3 linked regions of the Sus scrofa genome follow. The protein of the gene in region 1 interacts with the protein of each later gene in a pairwise test. Links are inferred from orthologs where the notes say so. Each region holds a gene or a part of one and is shown on either strand. Other genes may lie near its edges. The genes, in order: CNOT1, CNOT11 and CNOT4.

Region 1 (3,651 bases):
TTAACAGTCTTGATTCTCTTTACCGTAAAGACTTTATTTTGTTTATTTATTTTTCTGATTCTATTATGTTTATTAAATAGTGGGTTTCCACACATGGCTTTTTAAATAATCCAGGGAAGGAGAGAAGGGAGAGAAAGATGCAATTGGAGTTCCCCTCCCCCAAACCATAAAGACTAAATTTAAAGCACTTCAGAGGTTGGACAGAACAAAACAATTTAAAGTGATTCTGTGTATGCGTGCTGCACGCACCCACCCACCCACACACACACACAAACACACTCTTAACTCAGTTATTAATTTGGGGTCTCAGATGTCATGGTTGGATAATGCCCTTGTTTACTGCTTTACTGTTTCATAGTGTTTACCATCTTCACAACAGCATAGTAAGATGTTGTGGTTGAATATTTTCATCTTATAGATGAGGATGATTGTTAGACTATTTCATGGTCACAGCTGATGAGTCATAAGTAAAGTTGGAACTTCTAGAATTTTCTAAGCATTTTATTTTCTATTATCCTGTTTTGTCTAGCCACAAAAAACTTAAAAAATTTTTTTTCCTGTTTCTCCCCATCCCAATAGACTGCATCCCCACAACAAAGGGAAATGATGGATCAGGCAGCTGCTCAGTTAGCTCAGGACAATTGTGAATTAGCTTGCTGTTTTATTCAGAAGACTGCAGTGGAAAAAGCAGGCCCTGAGATGGACAAGAGATTAGCAACTGTAAGTGTTTAGCATTTGCCTTTTAAGTATTTTTTTTTTTCCATTTAAGAAATTGCCTCATAACAAGAACCTCAGTGACTTTTTTTATTTGCAGGAATTTGAGCTGAGAAAACATGCTAGGCAAGAAGGGCGCAGGTACTGTGATCCTGTTGTGTTAACATACCAAGCTGAGCGGATGCCAGAGCAAATCAGGCTAAAAGTGAGAATTGGGGGCTCTTGTCTCTCTGCCCCATCTTTGTTTTTTTCCTGTTCTTGTTGCTTAAACTCCTAACCTGGACTAGGATAATGGGGTTAAATGCTGTTTCTGAGAAAGCATTTCATTTCACTTAAAGGCTACCTGTGGAAAAGGCATAGAAATAACTTAGATGTCTTTTCTCCACCCCTCCCCGCATTGTTGAAATGCTGCTAAGAGTTCATATGCCTGTTGGTTTTTATATTTCCCCACTTGTTCTTCCCTTCTGGAGCTTGAATTTTTATTACTAGTTCCCGGTTGGTGAAAAGATCTGATCATTTCTACCAGCTCCATTGGAGAATTACACTGGCATGGTCCTACTTGGGACATTTTCAGTAGAAAAACTCTAATTTATAAATGAGGACAACACTGACAGTTCTCAGGGAAATAGGAAATACTGTGAACTGTGCATGTGTATGTATGCATGCATATTAGTTGTGTTGTTAGATGTTGTAATGAGTATGCATACATATTCAGTCATGTTAAATGTAATGAGTATGCACACATATTCAGTCATGTTGTTAAATGTTGTAATGGCTCCTGTGTCCCTTCTCAAGAATACCTGCCTGTGCTTACTCCCATGCAAATCTTCCAGTTGGAAAAAAAAAGTTTCCTTTGATTGTGAGGAGGATCCTGTAAAATAGATTTTCTTCTTCCAAGGTTGGTGGTGTGGACCCAAAGCAGCTGGCTGTTTATGAAGAGTTTGCACGTAATGTGCCTGGCTTCTTGCCTACAAATGATTTAAGCCAGCCCACAGGATTTTTAGCTCAGCCCATGAAGGTAAATCTTGTCTTGACTTAAATTGAGTAATTTATAGTTTACATTGAATGGTTTTTTGAATTAATTAATTAATCTGTCACTTGTTCCTGGAAGCTTAAGTTACAGGGGAAAAAATTACCCAGCATTGTTGAATTGTAGATTATAGGTGTTCTTTGTATCAAATCAGCATGGCATTCAGGATTTTTTTTTTTAAATCCATGAGATTGATTTAACTTTCATGTCTGACCTAATTAAAGGAATTTACGTAGTGATCTCATGGCCTTCCCTATTCTTTGTAAAGAGATTTTCTAGAAATGTGAAACAAATGTTCCCCTTGTGGCTCAGTGGGTTAAGAACCCAACAGTGTCCGTGAGGATGCGGGTTCAATCCCTGGCCTAACTCAGTGGGTTAAGGATCCAGCTTGCTGTGGCTGTGGTGTAGGCCTGCAGCTGCAGCTCTGATTCTACCCCTAGCCTGGGAACTTGTATATGCCGCAGGTGCGGCCTTAAAAATAAAGGGGGAAAAATGTGAAATGTTATTTACAGAAAAGTTGAAAATATAAGGAGGAAACATTTCCTTCTTGAACTGTTTGAACATTTGGACAGGTACTGACCTTGATGTTCCAGTCCCTCTTTTTTCCCCAATATTTTATTTAAATTTTTTTTTTTTTTTTTTTTAAAGTATAGTTGATTTACAATGTTGTGCCTCCCAGTCACTCTTCAGTCCTGTTATCTGTGTTTCCTACAGAGGCGTTCTCCTGTGTGACCTGGTGTGATCATTGAAATCAGGAAGTTAACACTGATATGTTAATATCATCTAATCCTTAGACCTCATTCAAGTTTTACCAAGTGTCCCAGTACTGACTTTCTGTAGTAGAAGGACCTAAATCAGAATCACACATTTTATTTAGTTGTCATATTTAAATTTTTCCCACAGGTTAGTCTACTATAGCTCCTTTCTTATCTTTCCATGACCTTGACACTTTGACATTATAGATCAGTGATTTTGTAGAATGATGTGATTTGGATTTGTTCAGTGTGTTCTCAGGTAGTGCATCTTTGATAGGAATATCACAGAAATGATGCTCTATTCTTATTTTATCTTGTCAGGGTTTGACAGTTGGACTGAATAGTTTGTTTTTCATTGTTTGGATTATGTACTTTCATAGGTTGTAGAGATTATTAAATGCTACAGGTGGTCCTGCCCTCAGCCTATCCCATTATTTATCTTTAAAAAAAATTATTTTTTTTATTTTTATTTTTTGCTTTTTTAGGGTCACACCAGCGGCATATGGAAGTTCCCAGGCTAGGTGGTCAAATTGTAGCTGCCGCTGCTGGCCTGCACCAGAGCCACAGCAAAGTGGGATCCGAGCCACGTCTGTGACCTACACCACAGCTCATGGCAATGCCAGATCCTCATCCCATTGAATGAGGCCAGGCCCACATCTCATGGATCCTAGTTGGGTTCACTAACCGCTGAGCCACGAAGGGAACTCCCATATCCCGTTATTTATCATGTTCTCTTTCATCACTTGATTGTGTTGGTGTTTGCCAGGCTTTCCACTGTCAAGTGAAATCCCCACTCCTCCATGCTTGCTTTGCACTGCCATACCTAATGGCATTAAGTCCTAATAATTCAGGAAGGGGAGTGGAAGCCCCTCCATGTTTTGATGAGAAAGAAAAAATAAATAAGAATAGTAAACATATCAGTAGACTTTTCATTTGCTACATGTGCTGGTAGAAGATCATTAAAATTTTTTCTCTTTTTTGATTGTATCCCCCTCTAAAACAGCATGCTTGGGCAGATGATGTAGCTCAGATTTATGATAAGTGCATTACAGAACTGGAGCAGCACCTTCACGCCATCCCACCAACTTTGGCCATGAACCCCCAAGCTCAGGCTCTTAGAAGTCTTTTGGAGGTTGTAGTATTATCTCGAAA
Region 2 (3,651 bases), on another chromosome or scaffold:
AGAGGGTTGTTTTCCACTAGGTCAGGAAGTTTGGCTGGAGTGAGACCAATATGATAAACGAGTTTGGGGTCTTTTTCCAACTCTCCCAGGAGCTAAATACAATCAAATTTTCAAAAAGAGAAAAAGGTTCTTGAGTCAGATTACAAGTTCTACATGCTACAGTTGCAGCCAAAAAAATAGTTCTATTTCCTGCATACAAAAAAAAAAATTTATACAGAAGACATTTTTATCTGCATTGAACCAACTTCATGAACATCCTCAAACCCATGATCCCCATGCTTTGATATTTAAAATTTACATTTGAATTGTCAGACTGTCTTGTTAGGGCCACACTAGCAGCATGTGGAGGTTTCCAGGCTAAGGGTCGAATCAAAGCAGGAGCCGCCAGCCTACGCCACAGCCACACCTTGACCCACTTAACAAGGCCAGGGATCGAACCTGTGTCCTCATGAAGCTGGTCAGATTCATTTCGGCTGAGCCACAAGGGGAACTCATTTATTTATTTATTTTTGTGAAGTGTCAGATACTAGCATCATGCACCTTTCCTAATAAGAGTATATAAATACACTAGTGATTACTCCTGGCATTAAACCAGAATCAATATTGTCTGATCTGGATACAATACTGTCTGATTTCTAACAATACCATCCTTAAATCTTTCATGGGTTTTTTTTCCCCTGTCATTTGTTATAATCAAAAATAGGAGTTCCCGTCGTGGCGCAGTGGTTAACGAATCCAACTAGGAACCACGAGGTTGCGGGTTCGGTCCCTGCCCTTGCTCAGTGGGTTAACGATCCGGCGTTGCCGTGAGCTGTGGTGTAGGTTGCAGACGTGGCTCTGATCCCGCGTTGCTGTGGCTCTGGTGTAGGCCGGTGGCTACAGCTCCGATTCTACCCCTAGCCTGGGAACCTCCATATGCCGCGGGAGTGGCCCAAGAAATAGCAACAACAACAAAAAGACAAAAAAGACAAAAAAAAAAAAAACAAACCTAGGAGTTCTCTTGCAGCTCAGCAGGTTAAGGATCCCACATTGTCACTGCAGCAGCCGAGGCTGCCACTGGGGTGTGGGTTCAATCCCTGGCCCAGGAAATTCACATGCTGCAGGTGCTACTGAAAATAAACAAGTCATCTTTCCAACTGGAAGTCATGAAGAGCACAGAGCTCTTCAGGGAACATGAGAAGCCAGAGCCCTGCTCAGCTGTGGAAAGACAGATCCTCGAGGGGGGTCCGTGTGGTTCTTTACTGTGCAGGTCACACTCTCACCCAAGTGGGGCCCTCCAAGACCAGTGTTTCTGCCAAAGCAGTGCTTCCTTCAAATTTTCTCTGCCCTTGCCGTCTCCTTGTATATACCATGTGTTGTATTTCAGGATGGTCTAGTCAGTGAGCAGAGTCAACTGTGAACATGGCTAGTATGTGACTCTGACAATGGTATTTTGGGTGGTAAAGTGGACTGCAGCTCTATCCTCTGACAAGTTCTAAGGTGAAAGTGTGCAAACTGAGTAACACTCACCCACGGGAAGCAGCTGCAGTGGCCCACCTTTCCCCCAGGAAGAGTCCTGTAGTTGAATCTCGAATCCAGCACGAAGCAGCTGGGAGGTGGGCCCGGCGTCCCTTCCTGGCAGAACGTTACAGGTCTGCTCACCCTCCTGCAGCCCCATGCAGCTCAGTAACAACGTACACAACAGGACCAGAAGTGAGCCCTGTCCAGAGTCACACTGACTCCGAACACAGGTGCTTTGTTTTCAAGTCACCAGATAAAATGAGCAGTGCGGGAGGCAGAATAAAGCTTCAGAGACCAAAATGCTTCCCACTGCTGGCTCCAGTAATACGACACTGTCAAGATGCCACTTTATGGAAAACAAGAACACTTGCTGAATGTTTACAGTACATACCTGTGTTTGCTGAGGAGAAGATAAGGGGCTCTTGAAGGCTTTGGCCATTATTCGTTTGATTTCCACACCAGTGCTGTTCTTCACACACATTGACCTGTCCCACTGAATCGTATGGTCAGGCTCCGTGGGGTTCAGCCAGGCCAGCTCGTCCTCGCAGATGTGCAGGGGAGGTGGTGGGCGAATGAACTCCGGCCGGAAGTGGCCTGGAAAGAAAACAGCATGTCTGCTTGTGCCCGTCTGTACACACCTCGCAGACACCCCTCAACCCAGTGCAGTGACTCTCTTAATAAGGACAGCACTTAGGTAACACTGACTTCAGAAGCAGAAATGAGGAGGTCAGGGTTTTATTCAGAACACAAGAAAATGAAAGTGACGTAACGTTAGATTTGGTTCCAGAGACCAAATCTACCTATTTGGAAAGGAGAGGAAAGCATTACCACAACCCACCAACTCCTAGTTCAAGCATGATCACCACTCAGTAGCAAAAGGACACAACTTCCTACCTCAGTGTCTTTTGATGGAAAAAAAAGTACTCTCTGATCTCACTCATCCTATTCTCAGCAGAGACTGTATGATGTGCACTAGTTTTATTTTTGCATCTTCTGACCTTGAAGTAGCAGATTATGTGGAGATGAAATGGCAGAGGAAAAGTATGGCTGACTTTTGACATTCTCAAATGAGTCTGGGGCCCTCCAAAAATCCCTAAGTTCACAAACGTTGTTATCATTCTCATAAGGGTACAACAGGATAATAAAAGTGACTCACTATAACACCTTAACTATTTTATGAAATATTGATCCCTAAGTTTTAAACCCACTAAAATAAATGCTAGCTAGAACTTCTGAATGAAGGTCCCACCTCACTCTGGTTTCCACATAAAGCCCAAGATGGCTTACCCCTCTCAAGGACCCAGCCCCTGCTGAATCTGACATTTGTATATACTCTAGTTTACTGAAAATGTCCGTTTTCTGGCTAAGAATCACCCCTTTATTGTGGAAAAAAGGAAAACCTCTTTCGGTGGGAGTGTAAGTTGGTGCAGCCACAATGGAAAATTTTTTTTGAGTCTGGAGTCTCCTCAAAAAAGATTTTGAGTTTACATGTGATCCAGCAACCCCACTCCTGGGCATCTATCTGGAGAAAAACATAATTCAAAAGGATATATGCATCCCCCTATGTTCATTGGAGCACTATGCACAATAGCCAAGACATGGAAGCAACCTAAATGTCCACTGACAGGAGTGGCTAAAGACGTGGTATATACACAATGGAATACTACTCAGCCATAAAAAGAATGAAATAATGCCATGTGCAGCAACATGGATGGACCTAGAGATGATCATACTGAGTGGAATAAGCAGATTAAGACAAATATCATATGATATCACATATGTGGAATCTAAAATACGACACAAATGCACTTATCTATGAAACAGAAACAGACTCAAAGAAATAAAGAACAGACTTGTGGTTGCCAGGGGGACGGAGTGGAGAGGGAGAGGATTGGGAGCTTGGGATTAACAGATGCAAACTAGTCTATACAGGATGGATAACCAACAAGGACCTACTGTAGAGTACAGGGAGCTGTATTCAACATCCTATCAAAACCGTAACGGCAGAGAATATGAGGAGTTCCTGCTGTGGCACAGTGGGTTAAGAATCTGACTGCAGAAGTTCCCGTTGGGGGAGAGAGGAAGAGAGGAAGGAAGGAGTATGAAACAGAATGTACCCACATGTATAACTGAATCACACTGCTGTACAGC
Region 3 (4,107 bases), on another chromosome or scaffold:
CAAAACCAAACCCCAGGAAATTATGAAGCTGCAATGTTCGTAATGTTACATCTAAAAACTTAAACCATACAAAAATATTTTGAAATCTCAGCTACCTATTTCCTATTAAAATGTCAAAGAACTTGAGCTATCTTCTTTAAATGTGTTAAAGATACCAAAGTAAATTCATTTTGACTTCAGAGTGCTGAAACCAAGAATTTGATGATTGCAGGAAAATAGTATGGAGTGAAGAAAATTACTTGAGAATGTTTTTAGTGAAGCAAAGTATCTTTACAAAAGAAAAGATGTATTAAAATCATTTCCCTCTTCTGCCAAACAGTTCTCTCCTAGAACACACTGCTTACAATTCAGCCAAGTATGACTGCCAAGGGTTTCTAAACCTGTGTGTTAGGATTATTCAAAGTGGAAAGCTTCTCCATCATTCAAAGAAAATTAAATATATTTTTTGCTTAGAGTTGAAGATCAATTGTATTAAATATATTCCTACTGATAAACTAAATATTAATAATACTTAAAAAAAATCTCAGGTTACAACTTAGGACAAGGTTTGCTATATAAATTGCTTCCAATTCTCAGAACGGTAGGAATTTATTTAGTTTCCACAATTTGAGCCTTAAGTGGCTGAAAGGAAAAATGAAGTTTCATAAACAGCTTTACTAACCTCAGCTGACACTTGATAAAACAGACCATTTATCATAATCAAGTGAATATAATGCCAAATGTAAGATTCCTCAAGTATTACAGATAAAATTGTAAAAATCACATTAATACAGTAATGCCCAAAAGTGATTAAAAAGGCAGCTATATGTATTTACATTTATACTTGAGGTATTATTACTTTCGCAAATAAGAGGTATATTGCTGCATGAGATTACTACTATGACTTTTAATATTTTTACATATATCTTAAGAACACAATGTTTATGTTTAAACTTGAGCTGTACATATCTGATCTATGTAATTCTGTTTGCTGTTCTGATAATTCTTTATTTCACAGCAGTCTGATTATAGCAAAAGCTCCCTCTTCCCATTATGCCATTAATCAGTACATCTCAATTTAGCTTTCACCAAAACAGACATCATAAGCCATTCTTGACTTCTAGTTTTCTGCTTTTTAATATAAATACTAATGACAATGAATGCCACCAAATGCACATATGTGCAGAGTTTGCCATTTCTTTTTCCAGTCTCCTTCTTTTCTATGGAAAAAATGAGCGATTTAGTTTTGAAAATCAATTTTTCTTTTGCATACACACCTAGTGGTTTTCAAGAGAAGATAATTTACTCAGATACCTACCGTCCTAGAAATATTAAAAGAAAGAACTTTCCAAATCCAAAAATATTAGGTAGATCTGATATAATCTGGAGAGGAAATTTCCACTCAAACTATAAATAAAATGTCATCAATTAAGCTGCACATCAATAAAACTCACTGAGCCAATAATCAATTCTCAATTTGGAAGGGTTCTGTAGCCCACATAAAACCTGCATATAATCAAACTACCACTGTTAATTTGCTTGCGGAGTTCACAGATAAATTTGGTTGTGTGCCAGATTTATCTTATTTTGAAATGCCTAGGCTAATATTTGTTGGTGTAATCAGAGCCCACATTAAGTGTCCTGGGGAGAGGCAATTCAGAAGAACGCTAGACAGCATGGAGAAACCGGTTCAAAATGAAAAGAGAAAGGAGGGGGAAAAAAGCCAAAAAGCAAAAACAAAAAGTCCCAACAGAGCGAATAATCCACAACCAGATCCCTGGAAACAAAACGAAGACGTTCCTCTCCGGGGCAGCCTGAATAAACGATCTTCACTCACAATGTTTAATAGTATCCTACCTCACTTCATTCACTTCCCAACTTCCTTGACTTCTCGGGGGCCAACACGGGGCATCCCTTTTTTTTTTTTTTTTTTTTTTTTTTTTTTTTTTTTCTGGAAGTGTATGTTGAAAGAATCTGTATAGCAAAGAGGGAAGGAACGGACAATACCCAAGAAAGCTGTGAAACAGGTGGGTTAGTACAAGCAGCAGCGTAATCTAGATACTTTAAGGGGCAGCTTTAAAATGACAGATGTGGTTAAAGGAAAGACTGCAAATCGGAAGAAGCTCTAAGGGTAGCAGGTAGGCTGGGGCTAAAAGCAAGCACGAGAGGGGGGCAAAGGCTAACTCCAGAGTGGTAGCAGGGAGCAAAAAACAAGCAGCAGCACGAGTGGGCAACGAGCAGTGGGATTAATGAGCAGCAGCAACACAGGTCAGAGTGGAAGTGATGGCTTTGGTCTTGGGAGACGGGGGCCACTGGGAAAGGACGTCAGAGGGGCGAAAGGGGGCTGGGAAAACAAGGAGTCCTGAGACCGAAGATTTCTTGCCCCTACAAAAATGTAGGGGAGAGCGTTGAAGACGAGCAGCCTCCTCGGCTGCCCAATTAAAGAGATTTTCGAAGCAGTCGGTGCTCGCCGCCGCGCTGCCTTCTGCCCCGCTCCCTTTTCCTGGTGGTAACTGCTGTGGCGTAGAGGGAAGAGGGAGGAAGAGGAGGAGGAGGAGGAAGACCAAGAAGGAGGAGGGTGAAGATGAGGCGGGGGGTGGGGAGAAAGGGGGGTGCGGCCTGCACAGTCCCAGCGAAGCCTCCGCTCTCTCGTAGCCGGTCAACCCCGGGTTTCCCCTAAGCCCAGCCCCGCATAGACTCACCCGCCTGCCTTGCCTCGCTTTTCCCTTAGCCGACTCCACGCGGTGCCGCGTCCTCACAAGAAACCACTGAACGAGTGTCGGGGAAAAAACTCTTCAGAACCGGGCCTGATTGCCTCAGCGAGTCCGACCTTTACGGCTGAGAGGGAGACTCTCAGCTTTCGGTGGGTTCCACAGCCAGACGGGCCACCATCTTACATTAGGGTAAGACTCCTCCGGCCTCCCGTGCGCAGGCGCACGCCGATCCGGCCAGGAGGGGCGGGGGAGGGGCGGGAGGAGCGGCCGGCGGCCGGTCCCGCAGCACCCTGGGAGTTGTAGTCCTCGGAGGGTAACCGCCCAGCTGCAAGCCGGGAATTGAAGTTCTCACTCGGAGGGCGGACCGGATCGCCTACCTCACGTGGTTGCCACACTACTGCCTTTCTCCGTGTTTTGCTTCCTTTTCGGCCCGGTGCTGCTTCTCTTGTCATTTGGTCGGCGGCCTTCGTTAGCGGTTCCGTTTCCTCGGTGTTGCTCAAATATGGGAAACCAGAACTCGCGGCGGGCGTAACCAATTTGGGGGAGCTGAGACCTTCTCTTTTCTGACCCCGCCTACCGTAGGTATTAAAGGAGGCAGGGTAGAGGCAGGTGGAAGGTAGGAGGGGCGCGGGATTTGATCTAGGGTGGGAATTGGATACTGAATTGGCATCTGCTTGTGGAAGGTGAATGTTAACTCGTTTCCCCTGTTTGTGCATTTTGGAGCCACCACCCTTGATCCGATCTTCACCATGAATCTCCAGTGAAAAGATACTCTAAATTATCCTGTATATACGTACAAGAGAACAGAAGACCCATGCGTTTACAAAAATGTGTTTCTGATTATATAAATTTGAGAACATTTTACGGATTTAGGTGCAAATTATTTTAAGTTCGATTTCCAGCTTGCACAGCTCTGCGCGCAGAGTTCACAAACCCTTCATACATCCATACATCCCAAGGAGTACAAGAATGCTCTCGCAATCCCAAAGAGCGCCGAGGAATTTTCAATCTCAAAAATCAATTTTCTGGTCCCTCCCACATGCCTCCTAGAATTCTGATGGAAGTGGCCGCTTGACGCAGTTGGTTTTGCTTGTTGCGTGAATTCTTCACCCATTCATGCAACAAATACTCAATGAGCTCCCCCTATGTGCCCAGCGCTGTTCTATACATGGGGAGGTGACAGCCAGCAAAATGACAAAATTCCTCTTCCAGGAATTCCTGTGTCTATTCTAGTGTGTGTGTGTTAAGGTGAAATAAAAGGGAAAGGAAGCAATTTTTAAGACATGATTAAAATGCATATTATACGGTAACTGATGAAAAAAATTGAACAGAAGGGGAATAGGGAAAGAGGTTGCAATTTTAAATCTGTAGACCTAATCTCATTGAGAAGACTTCATTTAATTTTTTAAAAATA

Evidence for each region.
Region 2: the proteins of CNOT1 (region 1) and CNOT11 interact in binary tests that used the Homo sapiens proteins (3 or more experiments, as listed by UniProt). The link is inferred for Sus scrofa from reciprocal best matches to the Homo sapiens genes CNOT1 and CNOT11.
Region 3: the proteins of CNOT1 (region 1) and CNOT4 interact in a two-hybrid assay, tested with the Homo sapiens proteins (3 studies listed by BioGRID and IntAct, with this or other methods). The link is inferred for Sus scrofa from reciprocal best matches to the Homo sapiens genes CNOT1 and CNOT4.

The regions. Positions count from the first base shown.
Region 1 is NC_010448.4:20,288,714-20,292,364, reverse strand, and holds part of CNOT1 (CCR4-NOT transcription complex subunit 1), read left to right. Parts: intron 1-579; coding exon 580-720; intron 721-795; coding exon of another isoform or gene 796-798; exon of another isoform or gene 799-814; coding exon 815-919; intron 920-1,612; coding exon 1,613-1,732; intron 1,733-2,458; exon of another isoform or gene 2,459-2,647; intron 2,648-3,502; coding exon 3,503-3,651.
Region 2 is NC_010445.4:53,067,716-53,071,366, forward strand, and holds part of CNOT11 (CCR4-NOT transcription complex subunit 11), read right to left. Parts: intron 2,095-3,651; coding exon 1,892-2,094; intron 93-1,891; coding exon 1-92. UniProt on the Homo sapiens protein: Component of the CCR4-NOT complex which is one of the major cellular mRNA deadenylases and is linked to various cellular processes including bulk mRNA degradation, miRNA-mediated repression, translational repression during translational initiation and general transcription regulation.
Region 3 is NC_010460.4:13,820,393-13,824,499, reverse strand, and holds the start of CNOT4 (CCR4-NOT transcription complex subunit 4), read right to left. Parts: upstream 2,928-4,107; 5' UTR 2,682-2,927; intron 1-2,681. UniProt on the Homo sapiens protein: Has E3 ubiquitin ligase activity, promoting ubiquitination and degradation of target proteins. Involved in activation of the JAK/STAT pathway. Catalyzes ubiquitination of methylated RBM15.